2 linked regions of the Tamandua tetradactyla genome follow. The protein of the gene in region 1 purifies or fractionates together with the protein of each later gene. This does not show direct contact. Links are inferred from orthologs where the notes say so. Each region holds a gene or a part of one and is shown on either strand. Other genes may lie near its edges. The genes, in order: U2SURP and SNRPA1.

Region 1 (12,283 bases):
CAGCCATGTGCCTCCCCAGGTGACAAAGGTGTTCCGGACGGCATTAGCCTTTCTTTCTTTTTTTTGCATGGGCAGGCACCGGGAATCGAACCTGGTTCTCTAGACGTGGCAGGCAAGAACTCTGCCTGCTGAGCCACCGTGGCCTGCCCAGCCTTTCTTGATTGGAGGTAACCACTTGTTGGTGCCTTAGTTTAGACAATTTCATGGCATTAGAACTGTTAACTTGTAATTTATTAAATTACCTTTTTAAAAACAATTCCATTTCTTGCATATTGCATTCTGGCAGCTTAACAAACAAATACACCCACTGATTGTTTTAAAATTAGCTATTTAATTTCTATACATTTGTAAAATTTCCAGTTCTGAGGTGTTTATTAATTTTTAACTTAATTCATTGTGGCCAGAGAAAGTGTTTTAAATAATTTCAATCTTATGAAATGTATAAAGACTTGATTTCTGTCCCAGCATATGATCTATCCTGGAGATTATTCCATGAGCACTAGAGAAGAATGCATATCCTGGTATTTTAGGGTGTAATGATCTCTCTCTCTCTCTCTCTCTCTCTCTCTCTCTCTCTCTCTCTCTATATATATATATATATATATATATATATCAGTTAGTGTCTAATTCATTTATCACATTGTTTAAATTCTCTATTTTCTTACTGATCCTCGTTCTGGTTGTTCTCTCAATAGAGGACAGTGGTGGTTTGGGTTGTTAAAGCGGCTGGAATGCAATATATAAGAATTGGAATGGCTTTTATAAAGGGAATTTACTAAGTTACAAGTTTACAGTTCAGAGGCCACAAAAATGCCCAAATTAAGGCATCCAGAGAAAAGTATCTTGACTCAAGAAAGGACAATGTGTCCAGAAGACCTCTGGCAGCTGGGAAGGAACATGGCTGACATCTGCAGGGGTCTTTGGCTTCTGGTTTCAAACAGCTTCCCTGGGGGCATTTTCCTTCTGCATCTCCAAATGTCTCATGTTGGTTCTGCCCACTTTTTTTTTTTTTTTTTTTTTTAAAGAAAGAAAGACAGAGAAGGAAGGAAGGATGGAAGGGAGGAAGAAAGGGAAACATCTTTAAACATTTTCGTTTTTTATTATATTTTGTTTGTTTGTTTGCTTTTTACATGGGCTGGGGCCGGGAATCGAACCGGGGTCCTCCGGCATGGCAGGCAAGCACTCTTGCCCGCTGAGCCACCGCGGCCCGCCCGGTTCTGCCCACTTTTGAGGTTTCTCCAAAGTGTTTCCCCCTTGAAAGGACTCCAGTAAACTAATCAAGCCCCACCTTGAATGGGTGGAGTCACATCTCCATCCAATCAAAAGGCCACACCCATAATTGAGTATGTCACATCTCCATGGAGAAATCTAATAAAAAAAAGCCCAACCACAATTGAGTGGGTCAATCTCCATGGAAAGAATCTAGTCAAAGTTTCCACCCTACAATATTAAATCAAGGTTAAAAGAAACATGGCTACCCCCACAAGACTGGACCAGGAAAAAGGACACGGCTTTTCTGGGACATATAACAGCTTCAAACCAGCACAAATGGTGTACTGAAATTTCCCACTGTTATTATTGAAATGTCAATTGCTCCCTTGAATTTGCCTCTTGTACTTTTGAGCTCCTTGATTAGGAGTATAAACATTTATGATTGCCATGTCTTCTGTGAATTGTTCCTTTTATTAATCTATAGTGTCCTGCCTTGTCTCTTATGACATTTTAACATTTAAAGCCTATTTCATCCAATGTTAGTTACCTCTGCTTTCTTTTGGTTAGAGCTTGCATAGAACATCTTTTTCCATCCTTTCATTTTCAATCTTTCTATTTATATTCTTAGGTCTAAGATGAGTCTCTTGTAAGCAGCATATAGATGGAGCATATATTTTAATCCATTCTGCCAAACTATATCTTTTAATTGGTGAGTTTAGTCCATCAACATTGAGTTTTCACTGCAAAGGCAGTCCTTGAATGTACCATCCTATCCTTTAATGTTTGTCATGTCTATATATTCTTTCCCCCTCTCTTATATGTTAGCCTTACCACTACTCTTCAACTCCGTACTCTCGTGCACACATTCCTTTCGCCTTTTTTTTCTTTTTTCAGTTGACAAAATTCCCTTTAGTGTTTCTTGTTGGGCAGCTCTCTTGTTGGCAAATTCTCTGTCTTTGTCAGTGAAGATTTTTATCTCTCCTTCAGTTTTGAAGGACAGCTTGGTAGGATAAAGAATTCTTGGCTGGAAATCATTCCTATTCAAAATCTTATCATACCATTGCCTTGTTTTCACGGTGGCTCTGGGGTAGTTTGAGCTCAGTTTTATGTGATATCCCTTATATGTAAGCGAATTGTATTCCCTTGCTGCTTTTATGACTTTTTACTTTTCTTCAACATTTGACATTCTGATCAGTATGTTTTGGGAGTAGGCCTATTTGGATTTATTCTATTTGGGGTTCACTGGACTTCTTTGATTTGCATACTTACATCTTTTATAAGAGTTTAGAAGTTTTCTCCCATTATCTCTTCAACTAGTCTTCCTACCCCTTTTCTCTTTTCTTTCTGGGACACTGATAATTCTTCTATTTGTTCACTTCATGTTATTTATCATTTCCTGAGATTTAGTTCCATTTTTCTTGTCATTTGTTCTCTTATGTATTCACATTCAGTTGTCCTATCTTCTAATTCACTATTCTTTCTTTTGCCTCTTCAAATCTGTTGCGTTCAGTATACTTTTTTCAGTATATACTTTCACCTCTATGAAATGTGCTATTTTTCTATTTATTCTTTCAAATTCTTATGATTGTCCAGTGTCTTCGTAATATCTTTTATGTTCTTATGAACATCCTCGATTTAGTTGTTCCAAACTCTGCAGCCCCTCCGCTAATAGTTAGCTCATTTGACTGAGCCATATCTACATGAGCCTTAACGTGCTTTATGATCTACTGCTGCACATGGGGCATCTAAATGTCTTAATAAGGTTATTTTGCAAGTTAATTTCCTTCACACATCTATGGTTTCGTATTCAGATTTGCACTGAAAGTCCCTGTTCTAGTTTGCTAGCTGCCGGAATGCAACACACCAGAGACGGATTGGCTTCTAATAAAAGGGGATTTATTTTGTTGGTTCTTCAGAGGAAAGGCAGCTAACTTTCCACTGAGGTTCTTTCTTACGTGGAAGGCACAGGATGGTCTCTGCTGGTCTTCTCTCCAGGCCCCTGGGTTCCAGCAACTTTCCCTGGGGTGACTTCTTCCTGCATCTCCAAAGGCCTGGGCTGAGCTGCAAATGCTGAGATGAGGAATGCCAAGCTGCTAGCAGTGCTACGTTGCAATCTCCCATTTAAGCACCAGCCAATTAAGTCAGACGTCACTCATTGCAGCAGACAGCCTCCTAGCTGACTGCAGATGTAATTGGCAACAGATGAGGTTCACGCACCATTGGCTTATGTCCTCAGCAACAGACTAGGTATGCTCACCTGGCCAAGTTGACAACTGAATCTAACTAACACAGTCCCCTTTAGGACTTTGTCAGTCCTTCCTGTCACATCCCCCCACCCCAAAACCATGTTAGGATCTCATGTAGGGGTTGCAATTCTCCTTAAAGCTCTATTGAGAGTTAGGCAGATGGGCAATTTGCCTGACTGCACTTTTTGCTTCTTCCTAGCAGATGGCATTCTTGAACCAACTCATCCCCTCAGGCCCACCGGTCCTTGAGGGGGCTAAATTATTTGGAAACCTGATGCAATTCTAGCCAGGGCCCACTGCTTACGTGCCCAATGGTTCAGGTGCCCCTCAAACTCCCACTTTGCATGATCTTGGGCTGCACATCTGGGTATTTCAGGTGCCCTTGCCCACAGCCAATCTGGGAATGTCTGGCAGGTGGTCACTGCACACAGTTCAGCAACTCCCTCGGCCTTGACTCTGTCTGCTGTACTCTTGAGGTCTCTGGGCCTCCATGGGAAAGGGGAATGATATTGGGACCCAAACAATTCCCTCTCTGGCTGGCTGTCAGACCGGCAGCACTCGGTGCTTCTCCCTCCCTGAGGGAAGGCCCTGTAGTCTCTGTTGAAATAAACCAGGTACCTGCAGCAGCCTGTCTCAGGGGTGGGGAGCAGGCACTATGCTCTGGCTAATTGATCTTTGTATGTGCGCTGGTTTGAAGCTGTTATGTACCAGTCAAAAGCCATATTTTAATCCTGATCCAACCCTACGGGGGGCAACTGTTTCTTTTAATCCTGATTCAATAGTGCAGGTTGGAAACTTTTGATCAGATTATCTAGAGGAGATGTGACACGCCCAACTGTGGGTGTTAACTTTTGATTAGATGGAGATGTGACTCCATCCGTTCCGGGTGAGTCTTGATTAGTTTACTGAAATACTTTAAAAGGGAAAACATTTGGAAGAAACCTCAGAACTGATGCAGAGTCTTGAACAGTTGCTTCAACTGACAGAGCCAACATAAGACCCAGATGTTTAGAGATGCAGGGCCCAGCAAACATGGTTGTGTGCCTTTCCGTGAGATGCTAAGCAGGCCAGAACCCAGAATTGTGTCTTGGAAGAGCTAAGTGAAGGCCCACAGATGCCAAGTGAGGAACTCCTACAGGAAACAGAAGCTGAAAGCAACAGAGCCCAGGAGTAAGGGACCAGCGGATGCCAGCCACGTTGACTTTCCAGCTAACAGAGGTGTCCAGACAACATCAGCCTTTTTTGAGTGAAGGCAGCCTCCTGCTGGTGCCTTAATTTGGACTTTTTCTTGGCATTAGAACTGTAAACTTGTAACTTATTAGATTCCCTTTTTAAAAGCTGTTTCATTTGTGGTATATTCCTTTCTGGCAGCATTAGCAAACTAATATGGTATGCAGGGAAAGCAAGTCTGTCAACTTCTAAGGACATCCCGCCCCCCCAGCCCCCCAACTCCCAGCTTACAGAGCCTTAAGGGAAAATCTTCCAAGCCAGCTGCCGGAGGCAGATGAAATTGTGGTGGAGCTCACTCACTCCATTCTCTCATTCCCAAATCTCCACTTTTTTATTCAGGGTCTCCTTAGGTAGAGATGAAGACCCTCTCTCAACACTGACACCCTGGAACCGCTGTCTGAGTCATTTTTCAGTCCCTTCTCTTATTGTTGCACAGGACCAGGGTGAACTCAGCCTCTCTTATTCTGCCATCTTGCTGGAAGCCCTCCATTTGGATTACTTTCATGCTACCTTAGCCTCTCCAATCTGTGATTTGAGTACAGGATCAAGTTTTCATGATTTAAATTTATCAAGTAGAACTCTGCTTATAACCTTGTGAGCTTTTGAAAATCCAATTAACTGGGCCTTAATAAATACTGTATCAGTTTGTTATGCCGCTATGACAAATATCACACAATGCTTGGAATCTACTGCTTATGGTTTTGGAGCCTAAAAGGCTTGCTTCCTCCCAGGGCTTGTAGCCTTTCCATGCTGGTTTGCTTCAATCCTGGGGGTAAATTGGCTTGAATCCCTGCCTCACAGCAACTGGCAATATCCTCTCCTTTCTTTTCTGGGTTCCCATTGACTTCCTACTTCTTCCTGTGGCCTTTTCTGACTCTGGCTTTCGGTTTCTTTCTCTTTATAAAATCTCCAGTAATCCAGGTTAAGACCTAATCTCAATTTAAGTGGGCCACACCTTAACTAAAAATAACATCTTCAAGAGATCCTATTTACAATGGGTTCCACACACACAGGAATATGAATTAAGATTTAGAAGGTGTCTAAATTGGGATATACAATTCAATCTATTACAAAGGCCTATCTTTATATTACTTCTTGTCAGGTCAAGGTCACATTTGTCTGATTTGCTTTGGGATTTATGGCATGAAAAGAAGAGAGGGAAGAATTCTGTGCACTTCTATTTATGTTTAGTGAAGATTATTTTAAGCGGATTTTGGTGATTTGAATAAAAAGCACGCATAAATTCACCTCAAAGTGACAACGCCAGCCTGACACACTGCCAGAACACCCCCAGGCTATCCTAATCGCATTCCTTCCCCTTGATGGTTTCACTTTCCATTTCTCCACTGTAGCCAGACAATTAAGATCTAGTATGATGAGCTCCTTGAGTGGGAAAGTATAGTTTCTACCGAAATAGAAGCAAGACCTCTAACACAGTCTTGGTGGGGGAGGGAATCTGCAAGGCTTCCCCCAAGAAATGACATCTTCAATAAGAGTAGAAGATTAATTATACTTCAAAAACGGGCAAGGCTGAGGGTGCGGAAAGAGCCCCAGAGGTGAGAAAGTGATAAGATCCAAGATTGGGAAGAGGTTCACCTGGGCTGGAGGACAGGAAGCACTCTATTTTAATTCATGCGCAGCACTATGGCACCTATCACTTTCTGATGGCATGCTTTGTTTACTTGCTTAGTGACTATCTTTCCATATTCCTACCCTATCCCCTTATACAGAACCGGATGCCTGGTCTGCAGTTTCCTTGGTGCCTGGCACATGATTGTGAACCTTTTCTGAGGACCTGCTATGGGTCACATCCTATTCTAACTCCCATATCCTCCCACCCCCACGCCGCCATCCAACAGACAAAATTCTACTTCTTCCCAGCTGATCAAATCCTACCTTCTCTGGGAAGCCCCCTCATTTCTTCTCCACCCAGCCCTTACCCTCAGAATTATTCATTTGTGTTTCTACAGCATCCGATCCTTCCTTGCAGCACCCATATCTTCAGTTCGTCTCCCCTAACTTTTGAATCTCACGCAGACGGTTTTATTCATCCCCACGAACCTCAGAACCGTCCGTGCAGGGTTGTGTCCGCAAGTCGGGTCTCAAACACACTGGGATAAACGAATGCGGGAGAGAGGGTCCTGAACCCCTCTCCCCCTTCCAGACCTGGGTCTCCGCACGTTACAGCCTCCACCGTTCTCAGAGCTTTTACAACGACAAGGCGACCCCCGCGCAGCCCTGCCCGACCCCGCGGAGGCGGAGGGTAACTGCAGCCGCCCGCCCGGGGCCGGCCCCCCGCCTCACGCCCGGTCGACCGGCCTCCGCTTCGGGTCGCCCCTCGGCCCGGCTCGCCTCGGAATCCGGCCCTGGTTAAGAGCGGTAAAAAACCCTAAGTGCGGAAAAGTTTACGGCGCTTTTCATGGACGTGATAAAAAAGGAAAACAACGATTAAACCTCAAAGCGTCATTTCAGGCGACACAGGGCCGACGTATGCGGGCTGTGAAGGGCCGTCCAGGTGCGCCGGGTCCTCCCGCGCGCGCTGTCCGCAGGTTCTCGGCCGGGGCGGACCGGACCGGGCCCGCTGGCCGCCCCGCCGGGCTCTTGGCCGGGCCGACGCGTCTCCGTCCCGCCTTCCAGGCGCGGGTCTCCACACCGAGCGCCCCTCCCGCGCGCGGGCTCCACGTTCGACTCGCGCGGGAAGCCAGGGCGCCACCCGCCCTGCCCAAAGGTCACGACGAGGCGATCCTCTCCGCCGACCAGCCCAACATCCCCGTGAGACGCGCGGCCGCCGGGAGAGACGCACGGGCCGGGCGGGGCCGGACTCCTCCCGCGACCGGAAGACACGGGCTCGCCTCCGCCCGCACTCGATGTCTCGGCCATCCACTCCTCAGCCTCGCAGGCGCTCTGGCGGGCTCCGCGGAGATCCGCTCTTTCGGCGCTCGACTCGCCGCGCTGCCGCCGCCGCCGAAGGAGGGGCAAAGCTCAAGATGGCGGACAAAACGCCAGGCGGCTCTCAGAAAGCCAGTTCAAAGGTAATTTTTTCGAGAACTTCGGAAGCCTGTGGGTCTGTCACTGTCGTCTGGGGCCTACGCGCGCTTCTGTTCAGCGGAAGGCGGGCGGGGTGACGGTGGGCGTTCTGGTGGCCGCGCCAGACCCGGGCGCTGCCGGACCGTGGTGCGCAGGTTGAGAGGCCTGGTTGCGCCCCTGAGTCCCAGCCTGGATTCGGCTCGAGACTGGCGGGCCCGGGGTGGGAAGGAGGGGGCCGGAGCGGTTCGGCCCGCCCGCCCTGGGCTCCCGAGTGGAATGTGGAGTTCAGGGTGAGGTCTGAAGCCTCGAGGACGCGCTCCTTCCTGTATCTTAGCTTGTTGCGCCCCGAGACCTCCAGAAAGTCTGTGGGAGAGGCGGGAAACGCCTGTGTGGGTGCTTCTCGGTGTTTTAGTTTTGGGTGTCACATTCTTCCGGCCTCGGTTAATATTTCCCATGGCCTCTGGGGAATAAATACTCTGTAGGGCCGCAGGTTGCGCGGGGAGGACGAATAGTGGAGGGACGCGAGAGGGAAGTGCAGAGGCGGGATGTGCACTGCTGCATCGCCAAGGTTATTGCTACACTCCACACGTGTTCTTTACCTCGTTTTCAAGGAAGTACAAGTATTTCTCTTGAGGCTCGGAGATTGGGGGCTCTCCGTCATCTCCTTTTGGTGTGTTCCACCGAAAGGGGAGCAAACGTAGTGTTGGAAGACACCTAAGATTAGTACGGTGTGTGTGTGTGTGTTTACCGTGGTCGGCGTGCACGCACTGTGATTAGTAAGGTTGTGGTTAGCATCAGGTCTTCTTTGCCATCTTCGGCTGTTAAGTTTTGTTTTTTTGTTTGTTTGTTTTTTTAACATGGGCAGGCACTGGGAAGCGAACCCGGGTCCTTTGGCATGACAGGCAAGCGTCCTTGCCTGCTGAGCCACCGTGGCCCCTGTTAAGTTTTTTGATGCCCGTGCAAGAAGTTGTGAACCCACTTTACAGATTCTGAGGATAGTTGTATCTTATTTAAAGAGAGTGTATGATTATGGGTCGGTTATTAAGAAGTTAGCAAATTTATGGTAGAAAAGATAAGCTTTGTGTTTACAATGTGTTCTAAGAAATAGAGTACCCCATTTTATACTTTCTTTTTCAGTTTTTATAAATCTGAATCTTTATACCATTTGGTGAATCATGTTCTTAACTGGCTCTACTTAGTAATGGATTAACCAGACATCCTTGAGTTATGTAAAAACTGGTAGAAAGCCATTTTGGGCTGCACAGTATCAAAGACATTTACCCCATTTTAGTTTTCCCTCTTCCCAGTACATTTCCCCTTCTTCGGTGAGTGTGCAGGTGGGAGGATAGGTTGATTCCTCACTCCCTCCCTACCCACTCTTTTCTGTATATTCATGACGAAAAACAGCCCATTTATTATTAGGGAGACATCACTAAAGCTGATTACATGTAAAATAATCTCTCATGCATATGGTTCACAGTTTTGTTTCTTGTTAAAGTAGTATTTTAAGTATCTCCTATTTAAGACCCTGTATACATTGAAAACATTTCAAAAATTGGGTTAGAGAGGTGAATGGATAAAGTGGAAGATACTTTTGACTTCCTTGGATATCTGATACTGAATTATTTTGGAAACGATGCTAATCAGCTGCCTTTGCTGATTAACAAAAAGTACAGCTTTTAAGAGATAAGTAAAATAAGGTTTACTTTAAGACCTGTGATCCTTAGGTATTTTTTACTACCAATGTACATTTTTTTGTGGTACCTAAAGAAATTTAAAATTGAAAAATATGATGAAAAACTCCAAATAAAATGTAAGTCTTGACAATTAGGCTCTTCGTATTTTGCCAGTTTTAGTTTAAGTCTTTACCATGGTGTGGTCGTAACTTACTTTACGGTATAAGATGTTTGGTTTTTTTGGGTAGAGGGTGAAACTATTAACTTCAGTTTTCTTGATTGGTGCTTTAGAAACTTCAGTATCTGTAGAAATGATACTGAAGATGACCTGCTTTTGCTGTGGTCTTTAATTATAGTTGAATAAAATAGGGGCAATTATTCCTTATCTTACTGGATTCAGCTGATCTCTGAAAGTCGTTTTAGTTTTCTTTTGTTTTTTATTCCTGAAGTCATGTTTTCCCTGGAAAGGAAGTCTAACAAAGATACCCATTTTTCTTAAAATGAGAGAAGGGATTATTTGATTGCAAGTCGAAGACTCCTGCATTTCTGCCCCCTTTTACAAATAGTATAATTTTTGAAATAAAAATTAAAAACTTGCTATAGGATATCAAACTCAAAAACAATATTCAACATAGATTTCCCCTTCTGCTATTATTAATGGCTTCAGCGTTTTGTTGCAGACCCGCTATGTGCTAAATATTTTGCTGAAATAATGTATTTGAAAGGAAGATGCATTTGCCAGTAGCACTTGAGGTATTTACTGTTATCAGTTGTCTCTTCCCTGAGAAGTTAATTTTTATCATTGGGTCCTTCCTCAGTTAAGATAAACTAAGGACATTCAATATACACTTGTAACTTTTCATGTATTGGCAGTGCTTGAGATGTAATTTTAAAAGTCATTTCAGGTTTGTTATTTATTTTGCGTAGTTCATGCCTCATTGATCTTAAAGACGTTTGGCCCTGGATACTGGTAGCTGCCACTTGTTAATGAGTGTACAGCATAGTATGTGGGTAGTGTGAAGTTTAGTTTTGTCTGGGAGGTACTTGTTCTGGCAGATTAAGTCAAGTATGTTGAGGCTTTGTCACTTCCCAGAGTTTGTCCTTGAGAAAAATGCTAAATGAGACTACTCACTTTGGGGAACATGCTCTCTAGTAGAAGTCAACACACATAGTAGGGTAAGGCAGAGAAAGGGTTCAGGAGCATACTGGCATTTGATTGCTCGAGTCATTTTAACAATGAGCAGAGATTTGAAGGGTAGAGACAATAGTATAAAAAAAGACTGGTGAGGTGAGGGAAAATAAATTGTTGAAAAATGGTTTGGTAAATATTTTGGTTTATGCCCTGGCTAAAGGGCACTTACAAAGGGAATAAAAGGAGCTGAGACTAGAAAAGTAAGTTGGGGCCAAATTGTAGAGGACTTTGAGTGCTAGGGAATAAAATTGGAGAGCCAGGGAAAATTTGAGTCAGGAAATCTTCCATGAAAGTTTTTTTCTGGGGGCTGAGCTCAGGAAGGATTTGGTGGTGAGGAGGACCACTTTGGAGATACAGATAAATATTGAGGTTTGCTTTAAAATCTCACCTTAGATCCTCTCCGGAAGCTAACATTTCTCTCCCTTCATTAAGATTCTGTGCTCTAGTGGCATAGCCACTTCGTTTTATTTGTATTTCTTTTTAAATTAGCTTCCTAGGGTAGGGGCTATGTCTTATTTTACTTCATATCTCCAATGCAAGGCCCAGCACCAGCCTCACCAGAGGTGTCCCAAAAATGGTTGGGTGCAGGGGAGATCTGAACCACCATGTTAATGTCAGTAGAAAGAGAAGAGCTGGGATATATGGAATCTGACTACCATTTGGTTATGAAAGGTAAGGCAGGTGTAGCAGTCCAGGATGATCCTGTTACAACACTGCTCCTCTTGCTGCTGGATAACACTTGTTAAGCAATTACTGTGCAGGAAGCCCTCAGAAGAATGCTTCACAACAGTCCTATGAGACAGCTTCTATTCACTTTCACAGATGAAGAGATGAGGCCCAAGTTTACAAAGTTAAGAAGTGCTACAACCAGAATTCAAACCCAGGAAGTCTGGCTTCAGATTCCGTGCTTTTAACAACATTGTTCTACTTCCAGATTATGATGGATTGAGAGTTATGACCTGGGTCAGAAACGAGAAGGTCAAGAAGAGAAGCTTATTTGGAAGGAATTTTGGACAGGTTGGATTTGAGGAGCATGTAGACATACACAGGTGAAAATATTCAAGATTGGAACCTAGAGATCGAAAGGAGCCGTCTCAGCACAATAAAAGTGTTCATGAACTCCCTTTGGGAGAAATCAAACTTGTGGAGATGAAAGTTGGTGCTTTAGAGAGTGAGAGGAAAAAGAAGACATTTAGGAGAGAGGTATATGGGAATGAGATTTGGCTAGGCAGAAAGGTGGTGTTGGAGGAATGTTGCTGTGGATAGCTTGCTAACTTGAGAACTGTCTGTGGGGCTTTCACTTGAAGTGAAGTAGGGGCAGCAGGGAAACAGTGGTTTATATATTCAGCTCGCAAGATACAGGACCGTGTATTGTAGTTGATTTCACCTTTATCTCCTTTTTCCTTTTGGATTTTCTTGCAGTCCTCCACGTTTATTCTGTCTTTTCTATCCTGAGATAAATTCCTCTTGTCTGCTTTTTTTTTTTTAATTACTTCAGATCTTCCTTGTTCTACCTTTTTGTTTCTTGCATTTTGGTCTCTTTATTTTGATAAGGAATTATGCTGTAGATGTCAGAGGATATTTAAGCATTGTTAATTTTGTGTTCTTTAGTTAAAAGATGAAAACCTAAACACAAAGCTAATCATGTGGTTCAGTTCCAGGTTAAGAATAGGGAGACTTGTCTTTTTGATGTAGTTTTA
Region 2 (12,299 bases), on another chromosome or scaffold:
CCGGCCCCAGCCCATGTAAAAAAAAAAACAAACAAACAAACAAAAACTAATAAAATGATCTCTTTAAAAAAAAAAAAAAAAAAAAAAGGTCCCACCCACAAATGGTTGGGTCACATCTCCGTGGAAACAATGTAATCAAAAGATCCTGCCCAAATAATACCTCCACCCCCACAAAATTGGATTAGGATTAAAATAATATGGCTTTTCTAGGGTACATAACAGTTTTAAACCTATACTTTCCACCCTCTGGACCCCCAAAAGACATGTTTGTACCATATGCAAAATACATTCATTCCATCACAATATCACAAAAGGCTTAAACCATATCAGGAGTGATACAAATGCAATATCAACTCAAAAATAGCACAAAATCTCACCAAAGTCAGTTACAGCCGTGGTCTGTCCTAAGGCAACATTCTCCTCTGGCTGTAAACCTGTGAAACTTAGTGCAAGTTATCTGCTTCCAGTACACAAGGAGGATAGTCATAGGATAAACATTCCCATTGCCATAGGGAGAAATCTGAAAGCAGAACAGGGGTCACGGGATTCAAACAGTTCTGAAAACAACAGGGCAAACTCCATTTGATTTTAAGTTCTGAGAATCATTTAGTAGAATGATGGTTTATCCTCTAGGCTTGAGAAAGCAGCAGTCCCACTTATAAAAATCCCTTTCCAGGGATTTACACAGTGGCCCTTCTCTCTCTAAACACTGGGTGAAGATTTTAACGTATCCAAGTATTGGGGAGACCACCTTGTTCTCAGCTCCACCCTCTCCAAGCATCAGGGCGGTACTCCTACCATCTCCCAGGCACATGCTGTATCCCTTCTGGACAATGGGGTGGTCACCAGGCTCCCCCATTCTCCAGGGCATATGCTCCACCCTCTCTGAGGCCTGAGGCAGCAAAACTCTTCCTGAACAATGAAGCAGAAGGTCAGCCCTCTGCTTCCAGGGCACACTCACCCTCTCCATGTGCATGGGTGGATCTGTTCCCTTGGCCTGAGATTTCCTAGCTCCAGACCTTAGCTTCCATGGTTATGCCTTTGAAGTCATTTTTCCTTCAATCTGTCCCTTTTAGTCCAGACTGGCAGTGCTTCTGTTTATACAGATCTCACCAAAAAATGTGTTGACTTGGCATGCAGCATACAGGAGTAAAACCCATCAGACAATAGGACTTTCCACAAATCCTATATGAATAACACCATCCCCAATCCTGGATTTTTCTGAAATGACTGACTGGTTCCATGTTTGGTTAAATCCTCACGTAGGGCAGTATTTTCTGGGATCTCATTTTCCAAAAGCTCAGAATTTTCCAAACTACGTTTTCAGTTGCTTTCTCCAAAAGAGTTCAGTTCTAAACTTATCTCTTTCCTGTCACATTTTACAATAAGCTACAAGAAGAAGCCAGGCTGTATTTTCTACATTTAGTTTGGAAATTTCCTCAGCTAGATATCCAAGCTTATTGCCTTCAAATTCTACCTCCCAGCCAATACCAGGACTCAATTTTGCCAAATTCTCTGCCCCTGTGAAACAAGGGTCACCTTTCTTCCAGTGGGCAATGACATGGTCATCATTTCTATCTAAGGCCTTATTGGAAGACACTTTAGCATCCAAATTCCTACCAACAGACTCTTCAAAGCCATCCAGGCCTTTCCTATTCACCTCCTCACAATTCTTCCAGAATCTTCCCCTTACCCAACATGTTTGATATTGCAAAAACTGCAGCACCCCACTTCTCTGGTACCAAAATCTGTTTCAATTTGTTAAAGCTGCCAGAATGCTATATACCAGAAATGGATGGATTACATAACAGTTTCAAACCAGATCCAATAGAAGAGTGGACAAAAGAACTAAACAGACACTTTACAAAAGAACATAAGGAAATGGCCAATACATATGTAAAAAAAAAAAATTATCAACTGCATTAGTAATCAGGGAAATACAATTAAGACCCCAGTGCAGCACCACTACCTACCCCACTGAAATGGTTAAAATTAAGAAGACAGACAATACCAAATGTTAGCTAGAGTGCAAATGGGCATTACCATTTTTGAAAACTAGCATTACCTACTTAAGCTGAACATAAGTAAATCCTATGACCAAGCAATTCCATTACTAGGGATATATGAGTATATATGTTCACTTAAATATATACACTATAATGTTTATAGAAGCATAATGTATTCTAGCTCCAAATTTGAAATTACACAAATGTCCAAATAAATTGTGGAAAATTCATACAATGAAACACTCCATTTTTGAAATGAGAAAAAATGAACTACGTCTACACACAAGTATAATGTTAAGCAAAATATGCATGAGGTACAATTTAATTTGTACAATTTCATTTGTTTAAATACAAAAGTAGGCAATCTATGCAAAGAGAGGCAGGATAATGGTTACCATTAGGCCAAGGGTAGTGACTGGAAGAGGACAAAATCTGGTGCTAGTTGCTTGGGTGTGCTTGGTTTGTACTCTTCTGTACTATATATATAATATATATAGTCATACTTCAATTAAAAGTTCAAAAAGAGCTAATTGTGGAAAGTAAAACAATAGCCCCTTGTAGATAACATAGGAAAATATGTTGGAGATTAGGACAGATTTCTTAAACAAGACACATACACACTCACACACAGATACTTACAACCCACTAACTATAATGAAAAAGATCAATTGGAAACTACATAAAAATTGCAAACTTCTAAAAAAATTATTCTAATTATCAAACACCAATAAGAGTAAAAAAGATAAACCACAGAGTGTACTCATATCCAGTCTATGTGAATAAAGAATTCCCATAAATCAATAATAAAAGGGTAGACAACCGAATAGGAAGAGTTGGCAGGAGACCTGAATGTGCACTTCACAAAAGAAGATATCAAAATGGACAGTATACACATGAGAAAGGCCTCAGCGTCATTAGTTATTAGAGAAAAGCAAAATCAAAGCAATAATTCAAAACTACTATATACCCAGTAGGATTGCTCAAATTATAAAGACTGACAATGTCAAGTGAGGCTGAGGTTGGAAGTTCTGGAAACACTTACACACAGCTAGAATGAAATTATTCCAATCTTGGCATACCTGTTAGGCATTGCCTGGCGATGATACAATACCCTTTGTTCTAGCAATTCCACTCCTGGAGAAACTCATGTGCATGTGCACCAGATTCATGTACAAGAAAACTCATAGCATTATTCACACTAGCCCCAGCCTGGAAACAACCCAGTTTGTCCATCAACAGTAAAATGGATGTTATAGTGTAAGACATATCATGAAATTCTATACAGCAGCAGAAAAAGCATTACTAGATACAACCTGCATGAATTTCAAACATAATACTGAACCAAAGAAACTGAGCATAAAAGCAGACTGCATAATTCCATTTATATCAAGTGCTCATACTTTTATGGTCAGTTTATTTGAACACCATAAATACCTGGAATCTTGAATAGGGAGTGAGATTTTGTTCGTTTGTCTAGGTTAGTGTGATGCCCTGATAAATCCCAGAGAGATTTAGGCAGTAAATAAAGAAGTATTTGCAAAATCCCCTTGAGGGAATGGGGAGAAAGGACAAAATATTCAACTTCCCTATTTGGAGAATTTCTAATACTCTTACAAGCAGTGGGGACAACCAAATTAATAGGCTGAGCCCTCAATCTTGGGGTTTGCCCCTATGAAACTTATTTCTTCAAAGGATAGCTAACCCTACTTAAAATTAGGCCTGAGAGTCACCCCCAGAGAACCTCTTTCATTGCTCAGATGTGGCCTCTCTCTCTAAGCCAACTCAACATGTGAACTCACTGCCTTCCCTCCTACGTGGAACATGTCTCCCAGGGGTGTAAATCTCCCTGGCAACGTAGGACAGAAAGCCTAGGATAAGCCAGGACCTGGCATCAAGAGATGAGAAAGCCTTCTTGACCGAAAGAGGGAAGAGAGAAATGAGACAAAGTTTCAGTGGCTGAGAAATTTCAGAGTAGAGAGGTTATCCAGGAGGTTATTCTTATGCATTATATAGATAATCCTTTTTAGTTTATGGTGTATTGGAGTGGCTAAAGAAAAGTACCTGAAACTGTTGAGCTGTGTCCCAGTAGCCTAGATTCTTGAAGACAATTGTATAAAGATATTACATTTACAATGTGACTGTGTGATTGTGAGAATCTTGTGTCTGATACTCCTTATATCCAGGGTTTGGACAAATGAGTAAAACATATGAATAAATAAATAATAAGGGGGACAAAGGGTAAAATAAATTGGGTAGGTGGAAACACTAGTGGTCAATGAGAGGGAGGGGTAAAGTTGTATGGTGTGTATGAGTTCTTTCTTTATTCATTTCTTTTTCTGAAGTGATGCAAATGTTCTAAAAAATGATCATGGTGATGAATACACAACTATGTGATGATATTGTGAGCCACTGATTGTGTGCACCATGTATAGAAAGTATGCATGTGAAGATTTCTCAATTAAAAATTTTTTAAGAAAGAAAGTGTGCAGTTAAACATTGCTACCTATCATAACTTGCCAAACACCAACCAAAACCACTCCAGCCAATCATAAGGAACACCCAGGGCAATATATAAGATTCTACAAAGGTTCCATGCACTAGGGTAACTTTCCAGAAACCTACAACCTCCAGATGGACCCCTGGACCAGATAAGTCCTGAAACCCAGAGCAGCCAGCCTCTCCAAAACATCAGCTAGTTCCGTGTCCCTACATATTATTAATAGCCCCTTCCAACATGAAAAAGTTAGAATGGGCATAGCTCAAATACCCCTAATAAGTGGAAGTAGGATCAAAGGTGATGGTGGAGTTATACAGAGAAGGTAGGGTTTAACAAATGAGTATGATTGCTGAGTCATTATACTGATATTTCTTTTAGTCTCCAGTATCTTAGAGCAGCTAGAAATAAATACCTAAAATTGTGGAACTGTTACCCATACCAAACTGTGAAACCTGTTCTACAACTAATTGTTGCACTGTGCTTTGAAATTTGCTTTTGTATATGTTATTTTTCACAAAAAAAAAGTCTATTGTGATGATAAAAAAATATTTTTTTCCTTCTGGCCTCCAATGTTCTGGAGGAGTTAGGAAAAATCTGAAATGATGGTATGGTAGCTAATGACAAACTCTGGGACCCATCCTATAACTACTTGTTAAAGAGTGCTTTGAAAACTATTGCTTTTTTCTTTCTTTGCTTTGTATATATGTTATGTTACACAAAAAACAAAAATAAAATAAAATTAAGTAAGTGAAACTAACCCATTGTTACGGTTCACTGTTTTCTTTGGGTTGGGCAAGGAGTTCTCAGGAAAATGTTCTTTTTCTGAACCTGGGTAGCACTTAGGTAGTAGTGTTTTCTCTGTGGTCATTCATCATGCCGCAGTTTTATGATTTGTGCACTTTTCTGTATATCATACTTACATATATAGTTTTAAATGTCTAGAGACCACAGGCCTAGCCACCGCTAAAATCCTGCGCCCTACTTTTCTGAGCAAACTCTTGAGTTTCCTTTTGCTGTCTTTTGAAATGTGAAATCCCCACCATGGTGGCTGACCCAGGTAAACAAGCAAGCCAATCAACTGGTTTACTGCATTTGCCGCAATACAAAATAAAATCCCACCTGCCCTAAACCCACCCCTCGAAGCGGAACAAACCCCTGTCCAATCAATAGGAGTCAACCTAACCTCCTTTTTATGGCTGTAAAAATCATTTGCCATTCTTAGAAGCTGGAAGCTGCCTCTGTTTTTACCCGTGCTCAGGCTTCCTTGCTGCACCCAAACTTCTGGTGTTCCGAGTAAAATGCTGTTAACTACAAACCACGCCAGTGTCTTTGGACACCGCAAATCCAACAGTGCTGGTGCCCGGTGGGAAGTCAGGCAGTGGGGCTGTCCCAGCAGTCTGGCCACAAGGGGGTAACCATGCCCTGGCTCCCACACTGTAGCCCAACAGCCAAAGCCCAGGACTAGGACGGAAATGTGAAGTTGCAGCCCCTCCCTACATTGAACCTCAGAGGTCCCCGCCCTCCTGGGTGGAGTATGGATGGTCATAGCTTCCCCTCTCATTTTCCACTGATGTATATGAAAGCTCCACAGAGGTGCTTTCACACTTTGCTTAACTTTCGGAGACAGCTCTCTGGTCTCAGAGGCCCACCAGACAAGATACGCAGAACCCAAGGAGTCCTCAAGCAGCGCCAGGCAGGAACTTAGAAAACGAGCCGGGGGCGTGGTCCTTCGATTGCTTCTGCCTGGCGTCGAGATGCGCGCGCACCCGCCGGCTGCGATTGGTGCTGTCTGGAGGAGGGCGCGGGGCACACTGGGAAGTGTAGCCGGCGAGAAGCAGTGGGCCTTGGCGCTAGGAAGCGCCAGGAAGCGGGAGTGTTGCAGGATGGTGAAGCTGACGGCGGAGCTGATCGAGCAGGCGGCGCAGTATACCAATGCTGTGCGGGACCGCGAGTTAGACCTACGGGGTGAGTTCGGGGCAGCGGGCGGCCGTCCCTGGACCTCACTGGCCACGTGTTGGCGCCCCGCCTCCGGCCTGGATTCTGGGCGCCCAGGCGGTCGGGGCCTCCGCCCGCCGCCGAGCGCAGTTCCTGGTACATCGAGTTCTGTGAGCCGGCACCTAGAGGCGATTCTTGCCTTTGCCGCCAAAGGAGCCTTCCGTTAGGCACCACTGAGACTTCTGCAGTCCCTATCCTACTCGCACACACGTGGCCGAATTAATTGCTTCCTTGTCCATGCCCGTGGACCTCTATTAGACCTTGTTTGGGGCGTTTCGCAATCCGAGCTCTTTTTCGGGCCGAGAATTATATACTTAGTAATGATTGTGACTCAAGTGCACGGCGGATGGTTGGGTCTCGCTAAATACTTTGAAATGATACTGTGGGAGTAGGTGGGGCATATGGTGATTACCCATAATTTATGACGAGGGAAGCCAATTCCGGGAACAAAAGCGATTGCTTATTTTCCGCGGTATTTCCTTCTTACTGGCTTTAGGTTCCTTCAGTTTCCTTTTCATCAAAACGTTTTAAAAAATTCATTCTGCTGTTTCACCAAGCTTGCTGCGGGGTATGTTTCCAGCCACCACCACAGGGTGTTCTCCAAACTTTGGAGGTTCATGTAGATATCTCAGCCGAGGAAGGCATGACTGCTTTAGAAAGGATGTAACGAAAAGATGTGATCTTTTCTGGGGTGAAGTTTATCCATTCCCGGTCTAAGGTTTTTCCACATGGAGACCGGTCTCAGGAACAGCACTTCTTCAGGCTCTGCTTTTTTATTAGTTTCTTTGCTGATTGGGAAGTCCCAGTGCTTTTATTTTGTTGAAATCACCTTTCTTAGGGAAAGGTTCAGTTCAAGGGTAACTTACTGTCTTCAGATTCGTGGTACCTTTCTAAATTCTGAGGTGCACCCAGTATTGAAAACATTTATTTTGGTGTAGTACCTACTTTGATGTAGTTCTTACAGTTCCAAATTGTGTACTTTATTCCTGACTGGGTTTCTTTCTTCTTCTAACATCTAGCATGATAATTTTGCCCATATTAGACCAATCGTGAGCATTCGAGTGAATGGTTCATAGTATGCTGTAGTAATGTGTGTAAGCTGTTGACCCTCAATTCTGCATTGGAACTGGGGGAAATGAAGAAAGCAGAAACAAACACATCAGTAGGATATCCTGCTGAATCTAGCCTGTTGGAATGCAAAAGAGGTTGAGGGCTGTTTTTCACATAGTATAAACAAGGCTTGGGTACTAATAGTCAGCTAAAAGCATAACTTGCTCTGGAGCCTTGATTAAATCAGAGCTTCGGTTTCATTTTATTTTTAAATTACATTTTGAAATTGTTTTATTGTGGATTTATAGAACAATCAGGCATAAAATACCAGATTCCCATATACTACCCTATTATTAACACCTTGCATCATTTTATTGTTACAGGGGATGAAAAAACTTGAGGCTAAATGAAACAAATCATGTGTACTGCTTACAATAGTACAGGGTACCTTATAAATATTCTTACAGATGTTTGCTACAAATATTAGTAATAATAAGTAATCCTCATCATCAGCTGCAGCAGCATCTCCATGTTCACTACTAGATTATAAGTTTCATAGCCACAGGGACTTTGACTGTTTGACATTTTATCTCCACTACCTAGCACACTATTTGGCATGTTGTAGGCGTTAGGTAAATAGTTTTGAATGAATGAAAGCCTTCAGTCAAATTACTGTGAAATATTGTTAATTTTTTAAGGTAACTTTTAATTATGATACAGTTCTAATTCCTTTGCTTGATATTTCTTGTTTATTTTTAATGTTACAGGGTATAAAATTCCTGTAATTGAAAATCTTGGTGCTACCTTAGACCAGTTTGATGCTATTGATTTTTCTGACAATGAAATCAGAAAACTGGATGGTTTTCCTCTGTTGAGAAGACTGAAAACATTACTAGTGAACAACAACAGAATCTGGTACTTTCTACTAAGTAGTAATTTTTCCCAAGAGTAAATGTTGCAGTGATCCCTGAAGAGATTGTAATGCATACTACTGGTTAAATCTGTTTATTTCTTCTTAATGTGAGAAATGACCTGCACTCCTCTCATAGAGATCCAGAAGATTAACTTGGCATTGGTCTAATCTTATATGCATCTGTTTTAGAAATGTAGAAAATTTATATATTCATGGTAACATTTTAATTTAAATTTAAAACATGCTTCATGGTACACATTTGGGCTTCTAAAACAATAATTATAAAAATGAAAAGGATCACATTAAAGGAATATATAATTTCAGCAATTATATTTTTGCTCAGACAACTCTTTCTTACCTCACATTCTCTGCTATTTATGTTTCTTTAATTACAATGGATTTCTAGAATATTACTTACTGAAATTGAAATCTCTTTGTGACCCTACGTCAGCTTTGTGTAAATTTTATAGAAGAAAATTTATACCAGGTATACAGATAATGTCTTTAAGAAGGTCTCCTTGTTGAGACATATTTCTCATAAATTTATCATTCCCTGTGGTATAGTTTTGAACGTCTTATACCTGAATTATGAATGCAGAATCATGTATTTCTTTGCTGTCTGCACAGAGAAATCATGAAATGCACTCTCACTAGGTATTGTGCCAGTGGAAGGAGCTCTAGGCAGCCTTCACAAGGCTTATGTACTAAAATCCTCCCAGTTCTGGTACTAATCCAAGACCTTTTACGAAGTTTTCTCTTTGTGCCTCATTTCCCTACTGTCAGATGGGGTTTTGGAAAAAGAATCTAAGTTTCCTTTTAACTGTGAAGTCTGAAATCCTCTGAGCAAGAACTTAGATAAAATTCTTAGCTAACTAAATTTTAAGAGTCTTTTTCTTTTAGCCGCATAGGTGAGGGACTTGACCAGGCTCTGCCTTGTCTGACGGAGCTCATTCTCACCAACAACAGTCTTGTGGAACTGGTAAGATGAATGGGGGGAAATGTTTTGGGTGGGGGTGAGATTAAAGGTACTATATCCTTCCTATAAGAAATTTGATAAAGCCAGAAAAATTCATAGAAGATTGTCTTATCCTTTTTCATTGTCCTTTTCTGAATTAATTCAGGTCCTGAACCCTTTTTGGTTATAAGGGTTACAAAAATCTTCTCCTACTGCGACTTGAATTTTCACTCTCTTAGGGTTTCTTGGTAGAGAAATTTCTAATTTAAGTATAATCCAATTTATTAATGTATTTCTTTGACAATGTGTTGATGCTTTTCCTATCCCGGGGTCTTGAAGAAACGTGGTAGCCAATAGTCAAATGTGGTTATTCTGAATTGAAATGTGCTAGAAATGTAAAATACATGCTTGATTTTGAAGACTACCTGCAAAAAAAAAAAAAGGAAATCATTTCAATAATTTTTAACATATTAATTACATGTTGAAGTAATAATTTGATTATTAGGTTAAATCAAATATGTTGTTAAAATTTGTTTCACCCGTTGCTTTTTTCTGTCTTAATGTGGCTACTAGAAAACTTTAAATTACATAAGTGACATACATTAAACCTGTGCTGGACAGTTCTGCTTGAGAAACTTTATTTTACCCTTCACATTTCAGCAGTCCACCTGTAACTGGTTTTTGTGTGAGATAAGGAGCATTTTCTCTATGTAGATATGATTATTTTGACCTGTTTTTTTATCCTTTTAAAATTTTTACTCTATAATTTTCTGAACTTTGTATTTTAGATTTGTCTCTTGAAAAAATTCAATCTGAAGTCACACTTTTAGATGAAGTATTTAGTCCATTTATATTTAATGTAATCACCATATATTTGAGTTTGCGTTTGTCCTTTCTCTTTTCTGGGGCTTTCTGTTTGTTCCACCCATTCCGTATTTCTTTTCTCCTCCTTTTGTTCGCTGGGTTTTTATTGTGTGGTTTTGTTTTGGTTTGATCATTTCCTTTTCCTTCTAATAGAAATTATTTACTCTATTTCTGTTCTTGTCAACAACCTTTGAATTAAAACATGTGTATTTGTCAAAAGTATAAAGTTAACTAATCTTCCTAAATAATAGGAAACTGAAACATTTCAGCTGTCCCCCAGCTTTGTTATGTTATTTATCTTTTTTTAAAACCTCACAAACCATCATCATTGTATTTTATACAGTCATTGTGTATATGTGTTAAAAAAACAAAAAAGAGGTTGCCACTTTTTGTTCTTTATTCCTTTTTGAATCATCCTTTAGGTTTCATCTAGTGTTGGTATGCTAGAGGCAAACTCTAGGGCTCTCTTGGTAGTGGTTGTGAAGTATTCAAAAATCTGTTCTCTGCCTACAAAAGCAGAACTCGTAGCTCTTCCCCACCTCTTTTGTTTCTAGTTTATCTCATTGGTTCTCTTATCTCTGTGCTACTTGATTTGGTTCTATTTCAGTAGTTTCTCCTCAGTATAAGAAAAACTTTTTGTCTTCTGATATTGACACAGCTATAAATTCCAAAAATTTTAGATTTAAGAAGAATGTATTAACCATTCAATAACTGTCTATTAAGCATCTGTGATGTGCTAGTATGGTGCTAGGTGCTAAAGCAACAACAAAAAATAATAAAAGATATGATGGGTGCTTGCTCCAAAAGCGCCCAACATTTCACAGTTTCATAATGGTGCGTTGTTCTTACTTGTGGCGGATATTTTACAGGGTGATCTGGATCCTTTGGCATCTCTCAAGTCACTGACTTATCTAAGGTATGGATATTATTTGTGATACTGAGGTCCTTAATAATAACACATTTATTTTGACCTTAAAGCAATCAGGGTTTTTTTGTTTGTTTGTTTTAAGTATCTTTTTAAAAATGATTGAAAATTGTGGCTGCATAAAGGAACAAAGTCGTGAGGCATGCAGCATGGTGAATGAAACTTGAGGACTTATGTTGAGCAAAATAAGCCAGAAACAAAAGGACAGAGATTGTATGGTCTCTTTTAGAAAATAGTTATAAGAGCCTACATTGTAAGCTCTTACAGCACTCACATTTATTTCTGAGCTTTAAGTCTTATTTCTAAATTCTGAGTTATGGTACTATCTTTGTATAACCTGATATAATCTGATATTTCTCTGGAACTTTGGGTACGTATGTGACACCTAAGACTCGGAGGTGGAGTTCTGCAGCTCTGAAAGTCAGCATTCCTCCACATAGCTACTGTTAAAGAAGCCAAAAAAGAAACCAGATTTCAATTAGAGATAAGAACAAAGCTGATCTGGTTGGGACTTAGGTAAATCAGAATACAGGATAAAAGATGATATGGTCTGTATTTTAGAACTTCACCTGCTGTATGAGACCAAAGGAAGAACTGTTTATTTATCCAAACTTAAGTTTTCTGCAACACACACTCTAACCTGTCTGGCCAGTTCGTTTAAACAATCTAAACACATGGAGCCTACAACAAGATCTTGTAATACTGTGATACATTCCAGAGTATGTTGGATAGGTAATTAAAAAGTATTGGTGGGCAAGCCACGGTGGCTCAGCAGACAGAATTCTCGCCTGCCATGCCGGAGACCCAGGTTTGATTCTCAGTGCCTGCCCATGGGTGGCGGGGGGAGAGTATTGGCCAAGTCCCTTGAGGGCCTGGAGAAAAAAATATGAAACTGTTAAACTCTTCCCCTCTCTCCCCTCACCACCCACCCCAGGAAATCCCTCACATACTCCAACATTAGGGACTCCCAAGTTAATAGACCAACCCCTTGACCTTGAGGCTTTCTCCTATGAAATTTATTTCTGTAATGACGAAACTAAGCCTACCTATGATTATGCCTAAGAGTCACTTCCAGAGTGCCTCTTTTGTTGCTC

The links.
Region 2: the proteins of U2SURP (region 1) and SNRPA1 purify together in Homo sapiens (affinity purification with mass spectrometry; 5 studies listed by BioGRID and IntAct, with this or other methods). This does not show direct contact. The link is inferred for Tamandua tetradactyla from reciprocal best matches to the Homo sapiens genes U2SURP and SNRPA1.

What each region holds. Positions count from the first base shown.
Region 1 is NC_135341.1:87,245,998-87,258,280, forward strand, and holds the start of U2SURP (U2 snRNP-associated SURP motif-containing protein), read left to right. Parts: upstream 1-7,592; 5' UTR 7,593-7,675; coding exon 7,676-7,720; intron 7,721-12,283.
Region 2 is NC_135338.1:83,232,544-83,244,842, forward strand, and holds the start of SNRPA1 (U2 small nuclear ribonucleoprotein A'), read left to right. Parts: upstream 1-6,288; 5' UTR 6,289-6,386; coding exon 6,387-6,468; intron 6,469-8,315; coding exon 8,316-8,463; intron 8,464-9,361; coding exon 9,362-9,440; intron 9,441-11,149; coding exon 11,150-11,196; intron 11,197-12,299. UniProt on the Homo sapiens protein: Involved in pre-mRNA splicing as component of the spliceosome. Associated with sn-RNP U2, where it contributes to the binding of stem loop IV of U2 snRNA.